Arabidopsis thaliana: one gene and its partners. Each later gene encodes a partner of the first gene's protein in a complex. Each region holds a gene or a part of one and is shown on either strand. Other genes may lie near its edges. The genes, in order: EDM2, AT5G11470 and AT1G05970.

What was found.
Region 2: EDM2 (region 1) and AT5G11470 share a complex: the UniProt entries of both Arabidopsis thaliana proteins name them as parts of the ASI1-AIPP1-EDM2 (AAE) RNA regulatory complex.
Region 3: EDM2 (region 1) and AT1G05970 share a complex: the UniProt entries of both Arabidopsis thaliana proteins name them as parts of the ASI1-AIPP1-EDM2 (AAE) RNA regulatory complex.

Annotation. Positions count from the first base shown.
Region 1 is NC_003076.8:22,448,785-22,456,912, forward strand, and holds the start of EDM2 (ENHANCED DOWNY MILDEW 2), read right to left. Parts: upstream 6,022-8,128; 5' UTR 5,631-6,021; coding exon 5,212-5,630; intron 5,118-5,211; coding exon 5,021-5,117; intron 4,791-5,020; coding exon 4,737-4,790; intron 4,625-4,736; coding exon 4,488-4,624; intron 4,102-4,487; coding exon 4,005-4,101; intron 3,896-4,004; coding exon 3,794-3,895; intron 3,687-3,793; coding exon 3,442-3,686; intron 3,362-3,441; coding exon 3,272-3,361; intron 3,192-3,271; coding exon 2,619-3,191; intron 2,552-2,618; coding exon 2,401-2,551; intron 2,321-2,400; coding exon 2,219-2,320; intron 2,123-2,218; coding exon 2,030-2,122; intron 1,711-2,029; coding exon 1,669-1,710; intron 1,507-1,668; coding exon 1,396-1,506; intron 1,253-1,395; coding exon 1,181-1,252; intron 1,078-1,180; coding exon 959-1,077; intron 854-958; coding exon 790-853; intron 694-789; coding exon 1-693. Other genes in the region: AT5G55400 (Actin binding Calponin homology (CH) domain-containing protein), read right to left, coding at 6,751-7,083, 7,171-7,262, 7,372-7,468, 7,562-7,719, 7,820-8,019, 8,107-8,128. UniProt on the Arabidopsis thaliana protein: Cellular antisilencing factor and regulator of genome DNA methylation patterns involved in the regulation of chromatin states.
Region 2 is NC_003076.8:3,661,956-3,669,876, forward strand, and holds AT5G11470 (bromo-adjacent homology (BAH) domain-containing protein), read right to left. Parts: upstream 5,969-7,921; 5' UTR 5,891-5,968; intron 5,108-5,890; 5' UTR 5,087-5,107; coding exon 4,724-5,086; intron 4,241-4,723; coding exon 4,072-4,240; intron 3,970-4,071; coding exon 3,113-3,969; intron 2,826-3,112; coding exon 2,799-2,825; intron 2,439-2,798; coding exon 2,346-2,438; intron 2,161-2,345; coding exon 2,082-2,160; intron 1,991-2,081; coding exon 1,900-1,990; intron 1,771-1,899; coding exon 1,671-1,770; intron 1,569-1,670; coding exon 1,452-1,568; intron 1,318-1,451; coding exon 1,262-1,317; coding exon of another isoform or gene 1,261-1,261; exon of another isoform or gene 1,235-1,260; intron 1,163-1,234; exon of another isoform or gene 1,097-1,162; coding exon 1,045-1,096; intron 934-1,044; coding exon 802-933; 3' UTR 762-801; downstream 1-761. Other genes in the region: AT5G11480 (P-loop containing nucleoside triphosphate hydrolases superfamily protein), read right to left, coding at 7,395-7,613, 7,737-7,899. UniProt on the Arabidopsis thaliana protein: Collaboratively with AIPP1/EDM3 and EDM2, the AAE complex regulates alternative RNA processing (e.g. alternative splicing) and epigenetic silencing (e.g.
Region 3 is NC_003070.9:1,815,289-1,819,524, reverse strand, and holds AT1G05970 (RNA-binding (RRM/RBD/RNP motifs) family protein), read left to right. Parts: upstream 1-2,188; 5' UTR 2,189-2,297; intron 2,298-2,531; 5' UTR 2,532-2,533; coding exon 2,534-2,980; intron 2,981-3,116; coding exon 3,117-3,272; 3' UTR 3,273-3,700; downstream 3,701-4,236. Other genes in the region: AT1G05990 (EF hand calcium-binding protein family), read right to left, coding at 485-937. UniProt on the Arabidopsis thaliana protein: Prevents gene silencing by suppressing CHG methylation as well as histone H3 lysine 9 dimethylation (H3K9me2) status at target loci.

The DNA of each region.
Region 1 (8,128 bases):
ACAACCATGTTCTCTAATATTCTTTCCCAAGTTACTTTTTGTCCTTGTTATTGCAGGCAGAGATGCTTCTACAGCCTCGTGAGATCTTTGAGGTGTTGTAGTGGAAATTGATGTGCAGACAGCATATATATCATCTGGGGAAGACCTAACAGGACTCTGCCAATCAGATGTCATTTCGGGAATTTTTACTTTGATGCTCTCTGGTGCTCTACTCAACTCTCCTTGATCCTCTTCCATGTCATTGCTCTTCCAATCCACATTATTAGAATCCATAGATTTCCCAAGCTTCCTACCAGAGTAGTCTTTGGTCTTTCCCTCCTTTTTCAGCTGACTTCTCCGTGACAAGTGATCTGACTGATGTACACGTGCTACAGTTTCTACTGTGTCGATTTTCTCAGAGACTAAGATTTTATTAACGCATTCAGCTACCTCAAGTTCATCCTTTTCCATAGGAATATCATCACACATGCCATCAGAAGCTCCAAGTGGATGCAAAGATGCGTTTGCTTCTTCTTCCACTATCTTTAACTTTGAGCTCCCCACATCCCTAGACAAATGGCAATGCTTCTCCGCTATTTTCTTGTGCTTGGCTGCAAAGTCGGACCGACTCCAGAGAGAAAGTGGCGGAGGAACAAGGTTCCAGTCTTCCAATTGCTTGTCTTCTTCATTGACAGAACCAGGCAGGTAAAATGACTGAAAGGAATAGGCAAGAAGCATAACATGTAACTGAAACTCAATAAAGGCTCAATCTCTCAAAAAGCAAAATCAAAAGAAAAGCGAAAGATTTACATTTCCAGATAGGAACGTCTTATCCTCCCATATAAGCACATATGATGACTTCTTTTTATCTAACCTGTTGAGAAAAGTGATAGATTTAACAAGAGAGAGAGAGAGGAGTCGATATATTAGTGTTATGGAATGGTACAGAGGAGCAGATGAGATAGATGGAAACTGAAACCTTTCAGTCTCGGGAGGAACAATGAGAATGAGAATCTTTGGGCGGAACTCAAGAGCCTTGGTAATAAACTTGTTTGCAAGAGAAGCATTGACTCCAAATGGTGGATTTAGCCCCATAATCTACTCATAATTCCAAAAATATAAACAGTCAGATACTACTCAAACTATTTCAATGACACTGGAGCTTACACAAAGTTCATACTAAAGGAAATTTGTGTCTTACCAGCTTTGAACCTGGTTCCAACTCATCTTTACTTACAGTCATCCAATCCTTTCTCTCAAAATTGAAATTATTCTGAAAGTAAGATAGCTAATCAATGAGTAATCCTAGAAGACTGATGAATAGAACACACCACGATCTAACATATGTTGCTTCCGTATCAGTGATAAGACTTTACAACTTACGACAATAGTAGGCACACACACACAAGTCATTACCTTCGCTGGAAAAAGATCGTAATTTTTATATAAGCACTTCTTCCCCGTTTCTTCAAGCTTCGCGTTCATCAGACAGCTAAAGTCATTAGAACCACAACAGAAGTCGACAATCTGTTGGAAGAGATCCCAGAAACCAGACATCATTGTTTATGCACAAGACATTGATCATTATACTAACAAGATCATACTTCAGAATATAAGAAAAAAACTTAAGAGAGGTAAACAAAATAATAAAATTAAACCCAACAGATAACGTTTGTGAGCAAATCTCACCATATCACCATCATCTGCATACCAATGCAGCCTATCAACAATCTGCACAAAAAGTAATAATAGGTCTGGTCAGGTACAAGCTTCAGATACAGGAGTTAAAATTTGACAAGAGTGTGTAAACAGCAGGTGATAGTCACTAGTCACGCAGGTGACAGAAAGTGTAAACCAACAGCATAATAATCCTCACAGAAGACAGATTAAGTAAGCTAATTGGAAAGACATAACATCCTACATTTTAAGAGTCATCTCTCCTTGAATTTTTTTCTTTCTCACTAATTGACTAAGTGTGAACCGAAAATCCTTGTAACATACAGGATGCTTAGACCTAAATCTTGTTTATGCTTTTAAGAGGATAGATTACCTGTTGAAGTTTTTCAGGATTAGTAAAATGACGACCAAATGAGGTATAGCGTGCACCATGGAGAAAAGGAGCAAGATAAACTTTGAGCTTATCCTGAAGCAAAAGAAATAAACATCTACAGGATTAGCAAAAATTACTAGTTACAAACAAAGATAAATAAAAAGGATGTCGAAAAAGCTAAGCTAGGACCTTCCACTTGAGGATTTGGCTCAGAACCTCTGGCTCACAAACTGCTTTTGCATCCTCAATGTTTCCTCCTTCCTCAAGCTTTTTTAGTGCTGTTCTGATAGCCTGAAGAACCAAAATTTTAAATTCATAACTAGAGGGTTAAGAGAGGCCAGATAGGGATCGGGTTCAGATTTTTAGCCCACCTGGACTGATCCCTCTACCTTCCCCATAGTGATTGTCTTGTCCACAACATTCCTTGTGGAGTGTGTACTCATAGTAGATTGAATTTTGAATTTCTTTAAAATAGTACCCATAGTTATTTCTTCCGTAGCTTTTTTCATCACTGCCAAGAGCCTATTGACAAAAGTAGATTACAATGGAAGAAATTTACTAATAGGCCCCAAACAACAAAAATACAAACCTCCTTTGAGAGTCGTTGTCTAATGTAGGAATTTCACTTCCTGGCTCCTTGGAGGCAATTGAGTCAGTCTTATTGTGCTTGCTATCAACAGGAATCACGCGCCCAGGTTTTACTGGATTAGGTTCCTGGGTATAACTAAACAACCTCTCACCCAGTGAAATCTTGCTTTTACCAGCATCACGGGCTTCTTTTACTCCCAGCTTGTTTTTGCCAGCTTCACGGGAGTCTTCCATCATCTTCTGGGATTTTTGTGGAACCATTTTATGCTTTATGGATGGATCAATATCCTTACGTTTCCTCGAATGATCTGGTACGGATGAAACTAATCCATGCTTCTTTGTGGAGAAACCATCTTTTGAAGAAGGAAACGAACTTCTAAAGGAATTCTTAGAAGCTTTTCCACAAGTATCTTGTAAGGCAGGATCCTTAACCTTAAGTCTTGCTTTATCTCGTCCCACATGTGATTCCAGTATCCTTCTTTGCTCTTTCACGAAGACCTTCTGCTCTTCCGTGAAAGGAAACTTAACATGGTCTCTAACTGGTGTCAGAAGTTCTTCATCTATCTCATGTTCTCTAGGCAAGGTATCTCATTCAAAATAAGTGTCTCAAGGTAAATAATTATAAATTCAAAATACACCATATATGAATCTTACTGGCAATATATGAGTACACGGTTGTGCAAGAGTCCGTCCCATGCCCTAGTTAATATATCCTCGTCCTCAATATCTTCAAAAGAAATTTCCCTAGAAACCAACAAGACAGTTATTCAAATAGAGTTCTGAAATAGCAATAGAAAATGAATGATGAATGAATGAAGGTATACCGCGGTAGGCATTTTCTATGGTAGGACTTTGGACAACGCCGGCAAACAGCAAATTGCAAATTAGAGTCTGTCTTAACCTCTCCGTTTTCACAGACACTGCATTTGTGCAATGGGCATGTATACTCTCCAGCAATGATTTGTCTTTCTAGTGCTTCAGACTCTTCTTTATTTCCTAAACGTAGCCGTCTTGTGACACAGTGAGGATGGTAAAAGTAGCCACAGGTGGCTGACACGCATTGGAAAACCTATGAACATGTTTAAAACACAAAGCTCAACCAATTACTTGTCAGTCACCATTATCAACAAAACATGTCTGAACAGCATTCAACATTAGAGATCAATAATTGCATACCTCTGCTGCTCCAGAAGAGTTATCAGAAGAGCCAAGGTTCTTGCAAATGAAGCATTGATGTATCTTATGCTCACAGTTTGGGCAAAAGTATTTCTGAATTGCCTGGAAAACAATCCATAAACAGCATTAACATAGACTCCATGCCTACTCAAGAAAACCAAGACGCCCAGACATATTCAGAACTAATGAAAGAATCATATATGTTACATACTTCCACTTGCATCTTGTTAAAGCCAAGAGAATCACAAAGTGAATCTTCACCATCTTTTTTGGTAGCATGAAATGATCTCAGGCAGCTTCCTTCACAACTGCAGAAAGCAGAACACAAGACTTATGCATCTGGAATAATAACAGTGTATCTTTAGAACCTTTGAAGGCCTCAATTGCCTCAAACGCTGAATTTGCGTTTGCATGTTTCACAGTATTAAAACATTTTCAGTGTTTCATAAAATATTTTTGCAAATGCCAAACGCAAACAGAAGGTACGCTTGAGTTTCAAATTAGCAAAGGAAATTGTTCAAGACGCTAAAGGTTGTAGACTATTTGAGAAAATTCACACTAAATGTAAAAGCAAACGCTGGCATAAACGCACACAAATAATCAAGGCCTTATTCTAATAAAGAAAGTAAAAGGTGTAAGACTAATTATCAGAGATAATCAAACTACAAGATCAATATCCAGCAAGGAAACATACCACAAAATCTCGCCACCATTGTCACATATTGCACAAACAGACTCAAAAAAATCATCGTCTTCATCATCCAATTCATCTTCATCGGAAGCTACATAAGTGTCCTCATCTCCAACTATGAAATCATCTTTTGCATTGTCCTAATAAGTAATAACAAGTTCGTATCAGAAACTAAGACCGTGTGAAAGTAAGGGAAAAAAAGGGAAACGGCACATTAGGAAAGAGTACTCAAGTGGGAAAAAAGATTCGAACCTCGTCAGGTAATCTCCTTTTGGTAGGCTTTTTTGTGAGAAATGCAAGTATAAACTAGTAACACAAGAAAGAAAAACAGCACAAAATTAGGAGAGAATCAGGGTAAGAAAATGATACATATACAGAAAACATTCAGGCCAGAAAGCGAGCTAAACTCTTGATAACAAATATGGGCATCACAAGCTCTCAGGAAACAAAAGCTACAACACCTATAAGAGATTTAATGGACTCTTCTAATTCAAAAATCCCAAAGACCAGAAACTCTGAAAATTCTCCATACAAACCTTCGAATTCGCCAAATTTCTATCTCTTTTCGCAGCTTCAGCGATTAAACCAATATGATCCACCAAATCATTCTGCGATGGCTTCACATCATATGACCTAGAAACAACATCCAATCACTAAAGTTAAAAACCAAAAGAATGAAAACTCCCAGAGAGAAGAACAAAAGACCTGAAAAGCACAAATCAATCACCTCAAACTTCTAGTTAATTTCTCCCAGAGAGCTTTCTCGGACGCTTGGGGATTCCTCCTAAGAAACTGAATGGAATGCAACGTGACCAAAACAGTTCTAATCAATTCCCCATAGCTTTTCCTCGGTTCCTCAAGCTTAATCCATATATTATCCTTCGTAAGAACAGAAATCTCAGGCTGGAAGTTCGAAAGATCGTATCTCCAAGCCTTAACAAGCTTATGCAGAGGCAAAAGGCCGTTATCAGATCTTCCTCGCAAGTAAAAACCTAAACCACTACCATCAACTTTCTCCTCCACGCTCCATTGAATTGGGAGACGAGCAAACGAAACAGGCTCTTTATCATCATCTTCGAAATAATAATTGGAAGCTGATTGAGGAACAGAGAAGTCTTCCTCTTCATCATCGTCAACGAACGTCATTCAATCCCAAAATTCCCTTAACCCTAGAGACGTTTCAAAACACAAACGATCAAACGGGACACAACTTTCTCCTAAACCCTAAAAGAAATAGAAATTCAAAACTCGAATTAGGGTTTCGTTTTAGGAGACACAATGAACATGAATTGGACAATGAAGAAGACGAATAGCCTGGACATTTAAAGTCCTTCAAAGATTGGTACATCCAAAAATTGAGAAATTGAGAAAACGGAATTGAAGAAGTAAGCGAATGAATTGATTACGAAGTAGAAGAAGAGAAGTGATAAAAACCTATGAGAATTATCGTCTCTGTGTGTTGATGGAGATTATACTATGACGCAATTGAATCAAAAGAGAGTAAGAATTGAGGAAAAAAAAAGAGTAAGAATCGTCGTCGTCATTATTTTTTTCCAAGTTTATATACTCGCGCACGTGTGCAAGCAACGCCGCTGAGATTGTGTTTTTGTTTTTTTTTTAAATATGACAAATTCTTAACATAATTCGTTTTTTTTAGTTCCCTTAAATTTCGTTCTACAAATCTTCAGCATAAAATACGAATAAGACCGAGAATATTATATCCCTCTCCTTAATTAATATTTCGTATAGATTTCTCTATTTAGGGTTTTTATTGGATAACTATTATTCGAAGCAGGTACGTTTAAATAACAAGTCATGCAAGAAAGCATGCGCCTGGCTCTTGTAGCACGTTTGGTCTGCGATGGCACTGCAAAGTGCAACGTGTGACTGGTTCGACGCTCGAGCCAGGCATCAGCAGAGAGAGAGAGAGAAGAGCAAGCAACACCAAACAACAAAAACAATAAGTCGATAAATATAAATCATTTGAGGTATTCTTAAATATCTCTTTTTTGTGTTTTAGCCGACAAAACGAATGCAAATCATTCCTTTTCAGCACAGTTATAATTTTAAATGACATTATTTTATGAAGATAAAAAACAATGACATTTTAATGTTTACTCCATAAAATATTTTTATCTTTTTATCTTTATTGTTATTGTGGTAACAAATATAGTTTTTATTTAGTAGTAGTAACACAAACAGAGGTGATGTGAAAAAATATTACAAAGCAACTCTGTTCCGGCAAAGATAGTTCAGTCTTGTTGCTCTATTCGTTAGCTGCTTCCTCTGAGATGGAGGTGATATCTGACAAAATGTCTGCGTCATTGTCTTCTTCTATCGTTAGGCTCGAGACTTCATTGTCTTCTTCTATCGTTAGGCTTGAGACTTCGCCATTTAAAGAAGAGACTTCGTCTTCACCCGTGACAGATGGAGCTGGTGAAGCATCAGTGCTCGTGCATGTGCTAGTGCATGTCGTCGTCGTGCTATGAGTTGATGATGAGTCTGAACTCGAACTTGAACTCTCTGACGATGATGATTGTTGTTGAAGGCTCCAATACATTATACTTGCCGTTAGGATTAGTATCATCTTTTGATTCACCTGCAACAAAAGACATTTAAAAACATCAGATTTACATTTTGATGTATGTTGTTTTCTTGTTTCGGAAGATTTGATTCCGTTCTTTACCTCCACGATATCTTCTGGCAACAAGAAAACCGAGCAACCAAGCTTTCTTGCTACGCTGACAATGTATGTAGCATTCAATCTCTTCTCATCGTCTGTTACAAAGTTTCCATAGCGAAAAAATAACGATTAAACAAATTCAGTTTGAACAGAGAAGAGAAAGAGAGTGAAGAGGTTGTGAGTGTAGTTAGAGAGAGTAAGGACCTGATTCACCCTTGGTGACAAGATTCCAGTTAACAACTCTTGGCTCAACCGCCCATAGAAGATCGAGGAAGAATAATCCGCTCGATAGACTTTTATCCTATTGAAGTTTAGCAAGACAGATTTTGTTCAACATAAGCTTGTTCAGTTGAACTTTTTTTTTTTGAGTTTTGATAAAAGTAAAAGATGGAACCTTGAAGCTTTCGATCTGCGATTTCCGCCCCATGATTCTGACTTTCCTGTTAGCCCAGCTTATGATTTCTGAGTCGGTCATGTCTTTTCCTCGTGTCCGAGATCTTAGACTCTTGAGAAGTTGGAGCATATGTGTTCTCATCAACTGCCATAAGAAGCCTGAGACATGTATACACACCTTTAGTGTTATACAATTTCTAAGACTGTTGAGCATCTTAACAAAATAAACATTTTTTAGCTAGCTAAGAAGAGTAATTACCGAGGATAAGCTTTTTATTTCCTTGAACAATGTCATTTCCAGCTACATTTACGAGCGAGAATCTCATCTCTTTCCCAATCTTCACGACTTGATTGCAATTCTCTACTTTTCTAAACGGCATCTTAATTGGTGGTTTTGAAGCCTGCTTCCAGTTAACTGAGCCTGGATAGACCTTATCAACAACTTCCAGAAGAATCCATCTGCATCAGAAATATTCAGTATTGAAAAACTTATAATACGTTTCAGGACCAAAAGATTATAAATTATTTTGCATACCAAATGCTTACCCGTTTCTAACATCTTCAAACA
Region 2 (7,921 bases), about 19 Mb from region 1:
GTGAACCATAGTTAAACACATCTTTCGCCATCATTACTTTTTTTCTCACTTATTTGTCGTTTTGTGCTGACTCAGATTTTCCTTTCTTTTATTTCATGATGACACGTGTAATGTCCATTTCTCTTCCAATACGGTGCGTTTTGGTCTCACTACCTGTGCTGGCTGTGCATTCTGTTTTTTTTTTTTTAATTAAAATTTTTATACGCCTACCGAAAAATTCCTTTTGCTGTATTTTATAACAACGCAAATTAAATAATACGGAGTATTTTTAAACAGTAGACTAGGCGAGATTTTTCAGAAGATTTGGTGCATAATAGTGTGTAGGTGTGTCTGATAAGCCATAATTATTTTCAATATAACCTTTTCGTTTTTGGATCGATTATGTAATTAAGGCTGATTATTAGTGATTACACCTTTCTGGTTGCTGGAAATATAGGAGGCAGGAGAACGAAATGTCGTGGAGAATGTACCTTCTTCAAAAGATGTGTTGTCGGTGATTACCTTTTTTCACCACAGAAGCATCAACCAGAGGCTACTACTATTAAAATTGCATGATACGCTAATTAGTGAAATGAAGTAAAATTTATTTTATTCTTTGGCGAGGCCCACTTAGGGAGCTAGTAAGACCCCACTATTTTATTCTTTGGCGAGCGAGGCCTACTTGCCCATCATATTCAAGTGGATATGGAATGAGTTGAAACTCTTTTTCAGATGACAAGAGACGGGCTTAAGTGGTGAAACAACTAGTTAGGCTAAAAGGTGCATCATAAGGAACTTTTTTAAACCCCTAAAAGGTCACAATTACTCTCTTGACCTTTCCTGATCCACACAAAAGTTTAGCACTTCACTAGTGAAACTGACCCTTACAAAAAAATATGTAACTACAAAAGGGTCGTCCGATTTGAGACCAGAAGCCGCATCAGTATATTCCTCCTAAACACAAGCAAGAAAGAAACAGCACAAGTGCAAATTATTCACCTTTTCTTGTATATTTTGATTTGTATGACATCAAGCAAAAATATCATAAAGAAACCAGGTGTTTACCGAGTCAAAGTTGGGGGACTGGATGGCATGAAACCAAAATTCTTGAGTCTCACTGTCTTTAGAGGCTAAAAGAGACCTTGTGTTTTTCCTTCTAATCTACAGTTGGTGATATTTCTGTCTGAAGCAAAGAAAGTAAGTGATCATTTGGTTCGTTTAGATGATAGACATGTAGATAAGAGCTAATACTTACACGAGAGTGACAAGATGATTCTGAAACTAAGGAAGTTTCAGCTTGAAGTTAATCCGCAGCGACTTCATCTCCTCCAATTGCCGCTATAAGGGTTTAAGGATTCAGTTATTCTTAAGGAATTGAAGCACACTTTTTTCTCATTTTTCCAAACAGTTCCAAACAGAAACTCATGTTTTCAGTAAAATAGTGGCAATAATCGTCTAGACAATCTAATTACCTTAGATACACTTTCAGACGCCTGCTCGTGTCTGGCTTGGTGCAAACACCATTCCATGGCCATGTCAAATTCAAGGTTGTTAGGCTGAGAAGAATGTGATGTAGCCACGGCATCTCTCTGGAAAAACATATAAAGACCAAAGAGCAAGAAGATTAGTAACGTAACAATGCATTTTTATTTGTGTGCATTATGCAAGGGAAAGGGAAATGAAAACAATACCATCTCCCGTCGCGTTTGAGTTTTGTGTAGTTTGATATGGCCTGAGAATAATGACGGCTTCCCTGGTGGAGTAATCTTAGCGAAAGAAGCAACAAGGGGCCTGTTGAGCAAAAAAGGCACAGCAGAGATTTCTGAGATGAAAGTATGCCAAAAAAATGGCACTGTACATCTCTGCAATTTATCATAGGAAGCTTAGAGAAAAAAGAAGAATATGTCATTTCAGGTTCACCTCCCACTTGATAGCAACAAGCATCCCTCATCTAGTCTTCTAATCACCCTTTCTGCAACTTCTCTTGTTTTGAAAATGACCAAAGCTTCACCTGTATATCAAACAATATGAGGTGCTCTTCATTCCATTTATAGTATGTGAGAATCATAAATTAGAACCCGGTGAGTAAAATGGTAGCTTACCAATATGAGGAATAGTGACTGATGTACGCTCTATCATCCTCGCTTCGCATTGCTGGTTCAAAGCAGAATAGACTATATCCTGAAATACAATTCATAAATTTCTTAGGTTGCATAAAAAGAGAAAAGAAGGGAGGTTTCCATGAAGTAAATCAGGAAACAACTGCATTACATTAGGTTACATTGAGTAAGCATATACAATATACATTTTAAGAGACTCCTAAATGTTGTTGAAAAAAAAAGAGACTCCTAAATAAACTGTAATACCTCCACTTCATCAGATGTATAAGTAGGATCCAAGTTTTGAAGAAGTACCACAGTCCCTTTTTTTTCTGCTTCCCTCATACTTTCTTCCCAAGGCTGGACATAATTTAGACAAATTAAAAAGTCAGTCCATAATTTCTGATACGACGTACAGAATCTGATAACAATTCAGGCTAGCTAGAAGAGACTACGCCAGCCAAACAAAAAATAGGTGCGGATAGAGAAAGTAAACAATTTGACTGCAGATTCAAAAGTAAACAACTGAGTCTCTCGAACATAGAAACGATCAAGAAAATACACTACTTTCTGAATAGCATATGAACGAGACGTTAACAATATTAACAGGTCACTCTACTAACATCATAAAACAAGCATGTCAAACACGAAAATGGAGGCAACCAAAAACGACATTTACAGAACTGGGGTGCAAAAAAAAGTTAAGGAAAAGATACTTACAAGACTCCGGAACCATTTACTTTTTCCCTGAAATAAATAAGGAAACAAAAATCTGTTAGATAAACCTCAATGTTACCAAGCATTGTGGTAACATAATAAGATGAGAAGAATGACAGAACATCACTACAACTATACAACATACAGTGTGAAGGACTGTAAAACAAAACTGCTCCTTTTAGAATTGTGTTCTTGCAAAACCACATCCTTGCATCTAAAGATTTTACAACACGCTCTGAAATCTCATGAAACAGCCAGTTCCAAACCAATGTAAACTAAATCATATTGCAGGAAACATATAGTAAGTATAAACTTACAGCATCCGGCCTTCGGCACACTTCAGTTACTTGATAGTTTCTTTCATTATCATCTGCCGACATCTTGTCCTCAGCACGTCCAAAGCTGGGCTTCTTGGATATACCTTTTTCAGTTACAGTTTTTGTAGTTTTTCCTTCAGATACTGACACTACAAGATCTCGGTTCTTAACAAAGCTGCGCTTTTCGGGAGGGACTTCCTCTATAGTCACTTTGTCTCTAGGTCTCTTAAAAGATCCTGTATCCTTTTTACCATCAGAAGTAATGTTCTGCAAAATGGTTGTATCCCATCCATCTCGTACTGTAACAGAACCATCAAGTTTCTGTTTCTTCAGAGGCCTGTCATCCAATCCACTCGACTCTTGACTATATCTTTCTCCAGCGGGCATAGATTTTTGTTTAGTCAACTGCTTTTTAACATCATTTTCTTGAGCTTTCTTTGAAATGGAATGAATTGTCCTGGAGCCAGAAGCTTCAAAAGAGTTACTATATCTTTCTTCGCCAGGCATAGATTTTTGTTTAGTTAACTGTTTTTTAACTTCACTTTCTTGATCTTTGCCATTATAATGATTTCCCCTAGAGCCAGAATCCTTGTTAGACCTTTCTTCTGCAAGTGTAGATTTTTTTATAGCGAGTTGGTAGTGACCTTTTTCTTTCTCTTCTTTGCAACCATTACTGTTTTCTTTACAGTCAGAAGATTCAAAAGCGCTGTCTTCGATTTTCCTAACTGAACCACTAGCTCCCCTAGCTAAAGGACCATTTGGTTTCAAACTATCTGACTTCCCATTTACGTCTGCTTCAATATTCTGCACCGCAGTTGCTTCTTTCTCAGAGCACGCTCTGTTAAAGATAAATTTAACTGCAAGAATTAGAGTGAAAAGAAGATATGATGTAAATAAAGAATCAAGATAGCTATTGAGTAGAATGTCAAAGCTATCAACTAAGATGAAACAAATTGTACCGTCAACTCCAGCAATCTTATCATCAATCGTATCCACAACTTTGCAACTTCCAACATCAAATGCTCGGCAAAACACGAAGTCCGCTGAGTTGAATTTTTCATCCGAGGGTTGTGGATTTCTTTTGTCTTTTGAAATGCATAGAACAGAGCATTTTCCACCGATTGCTTCCTAGTGAAATAATGTCATATCAGTATTAAAGCAGGTGTAATTTTAACTAATCACTTGCACCAGCTATTCGCACAATGGCACAAAGTTCAAACGAATATTTCAACCAAAAAGTGAAGCAAAGGTAAATCTCTCAAGACACAAGGACATGTTTGATTCACCATAGAAAGACGCTTGTAACAATGTTAGAAACCAACAAAAGTAATTGATCAACGTATTTCTGTTTGGGGAGCTTTGGGATGAGATCTATGCCATGGTTACAAAAGAGGACAAAAAAGCTACTTGGAGCACATATGTTGGTGAACAGAGAACAAGTTATCCTACCGCAAAGAATATAATATTCAACAAAACAAAAGTGGATGGACAATATAATTTAGTACGCAGCATAATATGAGATACATATCAATAAGAAAATGCCATGACATGCTCAATAAGTACTATGGAGAATGAAAATTCAACATAGTATGCAGAAGAATAATTAGTTACCAATTGGTTGGTATTAGCAAGGCCAAGACCTTCACCCGATGCTAAAAACACTTCATTGGCAAGTACATTCGGGACTCCTTCAAGATATGGCGCAATCTCAGAAGGTTTAAAGAACCAGAGAAGCTTGACTTTCTTTGGGATATGCTTATTAGCGTGTTCCCAAATTTTTATGATCATGCCAATGAAGGGTTCAGTAGAGTCTGGTTCACTGGCATTGCCAACTAAGACACAGTCATAAAGACGGTATTCATCGCCATCATAGGTGAAAGATTCATAGAACTGGACATCTTTCTTTTTCCCACCAACACCTTTCTTTTTACCCCACTTAAATTCTAAGCCTTCAGATGCTACAGATTCTTCCATTCTCTAAAAGCAATTTTCTACCTAGACAAACAGCAGAATAGTGTATCCAGATCAGAATTGCACGAGGAACTGATTAGACGACTGAACATATATCCACAATCGTTCATTTAAATGGTTGCATTGATAAATCGAAAGGAATACAAGAATTCCAACAGAAGATCAAACTCGTTTTCCAAGGATAACCGAGAGTACCCTTGACAAGGTGCAGAACACTTCAAGGACTTAAAATACTAAGACCAGAAGACACATAAAAGGAAAAAACCATCACAAGATAGATCAAATCAATGATCCACCATATACTCCCAATCAATCAAACCAAAATCACTCCCGAAACTCTATCAGATCCACTGTTAAACAAGGCAACACATTAATCTTTCAATTGAAATCATTAGCATTGTGCATATAACCAAAAACCATCCAATACATTCTTATAATGCACCATAACCAATCCATAAGAAACTTTTAAGTATTCAGTACTCAGACTAACGTTTAGTAATGACAAGGCTCTCTAAAAAAGCACGCAAGTCCACCAAAAAATACCGAAAGCAGCAAATCAGTTGATCAACGAAAGAAACTCCGTGAGAACAAAGAACACTAAATAAAATAGTAGATAATTGAGTTCAAGTAAACAAAAAGGCGATTCAGAAAAATCAAAAGATCACCAAACTACGCAATTGCAAAAAAGTGATAATATCATTTACGCAATGTAGGTTGAGATAAGCTTTTGCGTTCGTAAGAAACAGCGATTAACTGGGAAACAAAGAAGACGAAGTACTTTCACCAACAATTCAACTTTTTTTTTACCTTCACTGAAGAAATCAGTTTACAGTTTCCGAAGCCACCGAACGGAAAAATGGAACCCTAGCGAAATCAGAGTGACGCGAGTTCGATTAGGTCAAGATGAACAGAAATTGACGAAGCCCAGGTTTATCGCAGAGGGAGAAAAAAAAACCCTAATCCCTCGTTTTACCGGTTACTACAGTATCTCTCCACTTTATCTATCGCTAAAGTTCATCATAAACAAATTCAAATCAAAATCTCTATAGAGCAATTCAGTTTTGGTCGAAGATTGTTCTTGTTGTTGCAGTTTCCAGAGAGAACGGTAAGTTCATGAAAGCTTTTCTCCTCCCATTCCCCCTTTCTCTGAGATTTTCTCTGTTACTTACTTTTTTAAATGAGTTGCACAAAAGACAGAAAGTAAAAATGATTAGGTCTAAAAAAAATACATTGAAATTGAATTATGCACAAAAGAAATACGTAATTTTAGAGAAAATATATTTGAGCAAAGATTTTTACCCCCTAAATACAACAATTTCTTTATTTTATTTTTTCTATAATAATAAATTTCCAATTTTTTTACACATGTATATGTGAGATACGGTCTGATCATATATACTAACCGTTAAACAAGATCATGGAAATTTAATCATATCTTCTAACTCGAATTAGTGAGCTTATATCATAATTTGTTTAGAATTATCCCTGATAAAAGTAGTTGTGGTATAAATGCTACATCCCTATTTTAGACTCTTACTTGTTTTGATACTTAAAATTCAAAATCAAAATCATGGAGTGGAGAAATTTATTGTTCTTCTAATGACTCCTGTCAATGGTCACACGTTTTAAAAAGATGGTGTCTTTAACAAAGCCAATGGACTGTGATTCTCACCATTCACCAATGCAATATTAATCACATACTCTCTATAGTTGAATGTGTTTTAATTTTCTGGAACACCCATTAATCTTTTGGCAACGGAGGTCAATATCAAGAAGTTAAGCTATCTATGCTTTTCACTTTTCAGTAAAGGATACAGAACAATTTTTGTCTCATTAAGGCCCACTACCAAAAAGGTCTGAAGAGTTGGGTTTAGGGATACTAGGCTGTTATATGGGCTGCTTCTAGGGTCTCGTAAAAAGAAACGGCGTCGTTTTTCTGTCTTTTAAAAGTTTTTTAAAAATGCGGTGAGCGTGGATCGAACACGCGACCTTCAGATCTTCAGTCTGACGCTCTCCCAACTGAGCTATCCCCGCTTGATGCTTATATGCTTAACCTTTTATCTATATTTCCTATATTTGCGAATAATTTTGTTGTTTTTTTCGTTTGTTTGTTGATTTTTACAAAAGTTTAGTAGAGTCCGAATACATTACAAGTTGTAACACAAATACATTAAACAAAATCTCAGCGTTGCATTAATCAAAGACAGTGCCCAAATAATTGGTACACTAACTGTTAGTTTTGTCGTTTTACACTAACTGTTATATAAGTCTCCTTATAAAAAGATAATATGGAGAAGTGTTGTTTTGGTTCTCAGTGTTTGAGCCAGTAGTTTCTTAGCTGAGCCATATGCAACAATATCTCGTCCCGACCTTGATTCGTCACACTGCTGGTCATAATCCATGGCGGTGTTGTCTCAAAGAACCCTTGGATCAAGTCTTGGAACTCCTTTATGTTCGCCTCCGGTTTCTTCCCTCCATTTTTCTTCTTCTTTCTCTTGTCGCATTTTGTGAATATCAAAGTCATTGGAACCTGAGAGATATAGATAGCAATCATTCATTTCACAGAGACATTACACAATTAGTACAAGTCTTGACCATGATTGCCAATTAATGGGTTAAAGTGGGGTTTTCAAGGTTTAGGTACTTTTTATACCTGGTTTTGACCAAGCCAGCTTGCATACTCGAGATCGATTGGCTTTACAGGAATGCTGGCATCAACTAGTAAAAACACCGAGACCAATGTTGATCGATTTAGAAAATAGTCTTTGGTGAATTTGTTCCAGTCTTGTTTGAGTTCATGCGGTGCTGATGCATACCTGGATATATAAAATGTATCAA
Region 3 (4,236 bases), on another chromosome or scaffold:
CATACATAAAAAGTGATTAGATAAAGCGAAGATTCCTGGCAATATGCGCTTGACAAAATTAGATTATGGTATTGTCAAGCGGATACAACATTAGATCCGTGGAAAAAAATACAACATTAGATCCAATTTTTTTCGGATACAAAAATCTAATTTTGTCAAACGGATATTGCCAACCATCTTTATTTTGTCTAATTGATTCAGTATTTATAAACGAGATTCCTCCTAATAGAGCTACATCAGTTACAATTAGCTAGCCTAGTTGCCAATGATCTCAATTATTGGCACAGGTGGATTCTCATTACATTATAAATCAAACGCATTTATAAAACACAAACTAAAATATTCACTAGGAAAACAGAACAAGAATGCAGTAAACTAGGATCATTTTTCTTTTGTGTCTTTCATTCCTAAGACAATATAATTAATTAAATCAAGGATCCCAAAACACAAAAATGCCAGAAAAAAATAAAACCATATTAATTAGCTACAAAGAATTAAAACCACCGCCTTTCATCATTTGTCTAAACTCTTTGTAGTTAACCCTACCATCACCATCAACATCCACTTTCTTTATCATCTTCTTACAATCGTCCAAGGTCTTACCTTGTTTGAGCCCCAAGGAAGACAAAACCGCCTTCAATTCATCCACCGTTATAAACCCATCTCCATTCTGATCAAACACATTGAAAGCTTCTTTCATGTCCTCTTCTTCTTCGTCTTCCTCGTCCATTATCGTCTTGTATAGCTCACCAAACTCGTCTATGTCCACGCACCCATCACCATTCACGTCGATCTTCTCGATCATTTGAGTCAACTCCTTGTCCGGGATGTAAATCCCTAGGCTTCGTAGTGTCTCGCTCAGCTCTTTCCCCGTGATCGTCCCGTCCCCGTTCTTGTCGAACATTTGGAACACGCGTTTTAGCTCTGTCGGATCCATCTCTTTTAAAGTTGTAGTGTTGCGTGTGGAGGAAGAAAAGATAATGGTGAGGGCTCCACGAGGCCGAGAAAATCTTTTACCCTTTCCTGGCTTCTTGGATAAGGGCAGGAATTCAAAAATCTAGGAGGAAGTTACAAGAGATGCAACAAAGAGACATTCATTAGCCAAAAATAGGAAGGAAGAAGGAGATAAAAAGATATGCCTTTGGTTGATATTGTTAATCGGTAGAGATGGACATGTTGAGGGTTTTAAAAGGATGCAACTCTATGAGTTTATGGAATTAATTATTTTCTTAAAATTTGTTATATATATAGTGGGAATTTAATTAATACTTTGTTTTCACCAAACAAAAAAGTAAGAATTAAGAAACAGTAGTACTAGGGGGAAAGTTGAGTCAACATTCAAATAATATATAATCTGATAGATTTGTGTATCCTTTTGAAGGTAGATAACAAAATTCTTGTAAAATAATTACATTCTTGAATCTGAGCGAATTAATATTTAGTATAAACAACTGCGACAAATACCCTGGAATTTACATTCTTGAATTAACATTAGTATACGCAAAATATATGTTTCGTTTTAAATTATTGTTAGCGTAATTAATTCCCAGTTACAATTAATCAAGAACAGTTTTAGTGACGTTTAGCTCCAAACATTTATCCCAGTTAAATAAGACATATTTTGCTGTTAAAAAACTAGATAGTAAATGGTAGGCAGGTACTCCCCACCTCGAGGATATTGGTTGCACGTTTAGCTCCAAACATTTATCAGTTTAAACAATTGCATTAGCTAAATAACAGTTTATTATTGATCAAATCAGAATTTGATTTAATATTTGATTCTTAAAAGAAAAACAGCTAAAAACTCTAATGAAGTGGTGAACCACTATTATGATTTATGGCCAATGAAAGTATCCTAAAAAGATTTTGTTTTATAAAAACTACAAAGAGATCCAAAATTGATACATTACAATGAGTCGCATCGCTTTCACTAAATCTCTTTATTTAATACTTACAAAAAAAAAAATATCTTATTTAATTTCAACTACATGTTTTTTATAATTTACAGGGAAAGGAAAAAAATAAAATTGCATAAGGTTGAAAAATAAAAAAGTGCCCACACGCAGGATCGAACTACGGACCTTCAGTTTACAAGACTGACGCTCTACCACTGAGCTATACGGGCCATTGATAATGGAATCCAATAACAAATATATAAATCTATAAAAGTCGTCATTTATCCTCCTAACTTACTTCTTCTTCCTTATTTCGTCTCCCCCCATAGACGACGCCTTTGACACGAGTTTAACAGTTACTTCCAGAGACGACGCCTTTAACACGAATTCTCTCCAGTTCAGGTAATTCTTTGATCTCTATCCTTCTATTCATCAATGCCCCATCGATTTCGCTACTATCTCTTCATTCCCATTTCTCTGAGAAACCCTAGATTTTCGCCCCGATTTCTTTTTTGTTTTTCCAGAAAATTCGTTGCATATATTTAAGACGGAAATTGTAACTCTGTTGAATCAATTTGGGGTTTGTTCTATTTGAACTTAAATTCGTTTATCGTTTTCTCTTCTTAATTTGGTTAGTGATGGCGACTCCGGAAGAAGTAGCGTATGAGAAGTTCCTAGAGAGAGTTCGTCGTACTGTCTACGTAGACGAACTCACGCCTCTTGCCACAGCTCCTGTTATTTCATCTGCTTTCAATCAGTTTGGGACTGTCAAGAAAGTCAGCTTCATACCTAACTACTTGGGTCCAAAGGAGCTTCCTATGGGTGTTCTTGTTGAGATGGAGAATGAAGAGATGACACAGGCTGTTATCTCTACTGTCTCACAGTTACCTTTCATGGTTGCTGGTATGCCAAGGCCTGTGAGAGCTTGTGCTGCTGAGCCTAATATGTTTGTTGATAAACCGAAGAAGCCTGGTAGAACGGTCCGTTTTCGCTGGATTAAGCCTAACGATCCTGATTTCGACAAGGCCAGGAGAGTCAAGCGGCTTGCTCGTAAGCATAGTGCTGAAAATTCGTTCATGCTCAAGGTGCTTATATTTTTTGTTTTTTGTTTTCGTTTGTTTGTTGTCTCTTCCTGTGGTATTGGATCTGATTGGCGGTGATAGTGTTAATGAAGACTTGTGTGCTATTGTGTGAATGTGTTTTCTTGTCTTCTGTTGTCAGAAACAGCTTGAGGAGGCAGAGAAGCTGTCGAAACAGCAAGCTGAGACGGCGGTAACACATCACAAGAAGTTTGAGATGATGGATAAACTCCTCTACGATGGTGTTGCTCAGAAACTGGCTGGCCGTTACGACCTGAAAGGTTTTCCTTATCGGTAGAGAGAGACTGCATATGGTATTTTGCTTAGAACTTCCTTATGTCACTAGTTTGTGCAGTGTCTATTTTGGTTGAGCTGACTTTGCTGTAGGCGCTCTGACTTTAACTCGTAATGAAGAATGTTCCACATTCTCATTTATGTGAAACAAGTAGAAGCGTGTAAATGAGATAATCAAAGTCCCTGCTTTAGTTTACCTTGACCTCTCCTCTTAATGCCTAATTCTCAAGCAAAACAAGATTTAAGCTTTAGAGACACATATTCTGCTCTCTCTGATATTTCAGATTTTTGGCGTTTGGTTTTCTACATTCCCGGTTCTTAAGTCTTGTGAGTAGTGTATGACATTTGAGATGAGATAGCTTGATTTCTATGTTGGATCAGACATTTGAATTGTATTACTATTAACCAAACTAAAAATTGTGTAAAGCGAATATAATAATTTTCGGTTTAGTCATGAACCACCAAACCAATTCTGAAGGGAATTAAAAACCAAGAAAAATTAAGAAAAGATCAAAAGAACAATTGTCAAGAATCATAGAGGACTAGTCAATGGATCCATTCAGCAGAAAACAACCTTCAAAAATTCGGACCGTATATAGCCCGCATCACATAAGCACTAGTGGATCCATTACAAGATATTTGAAGGGTATATTGGTAATTTAAAGAGGAATTCGGACTGACACTTTCCGACATTAATGGCGGAAAGAAGAGAGAGAGAGAGCTTTTTTAATAATGAAATGGAGAGATTAAATAAAATAATGATAAAAAGACGAGAGAAGAGCAATGCCACCTCTGAGCGGGCAAGCGGGATTAGATTTGCCTTCTTCTCCCCAAGCTGCCTCTCTGGCTTTTCCCCATCTTCCTGGTAAAATTCTCTCCTTCTTCAATCTCTATCTCTCTCTTTTTTCCTGGTTAATTCCAATTTGGATTTGTAATTTCTCTGAATTTGATTCCTTTATTTCCTTTCC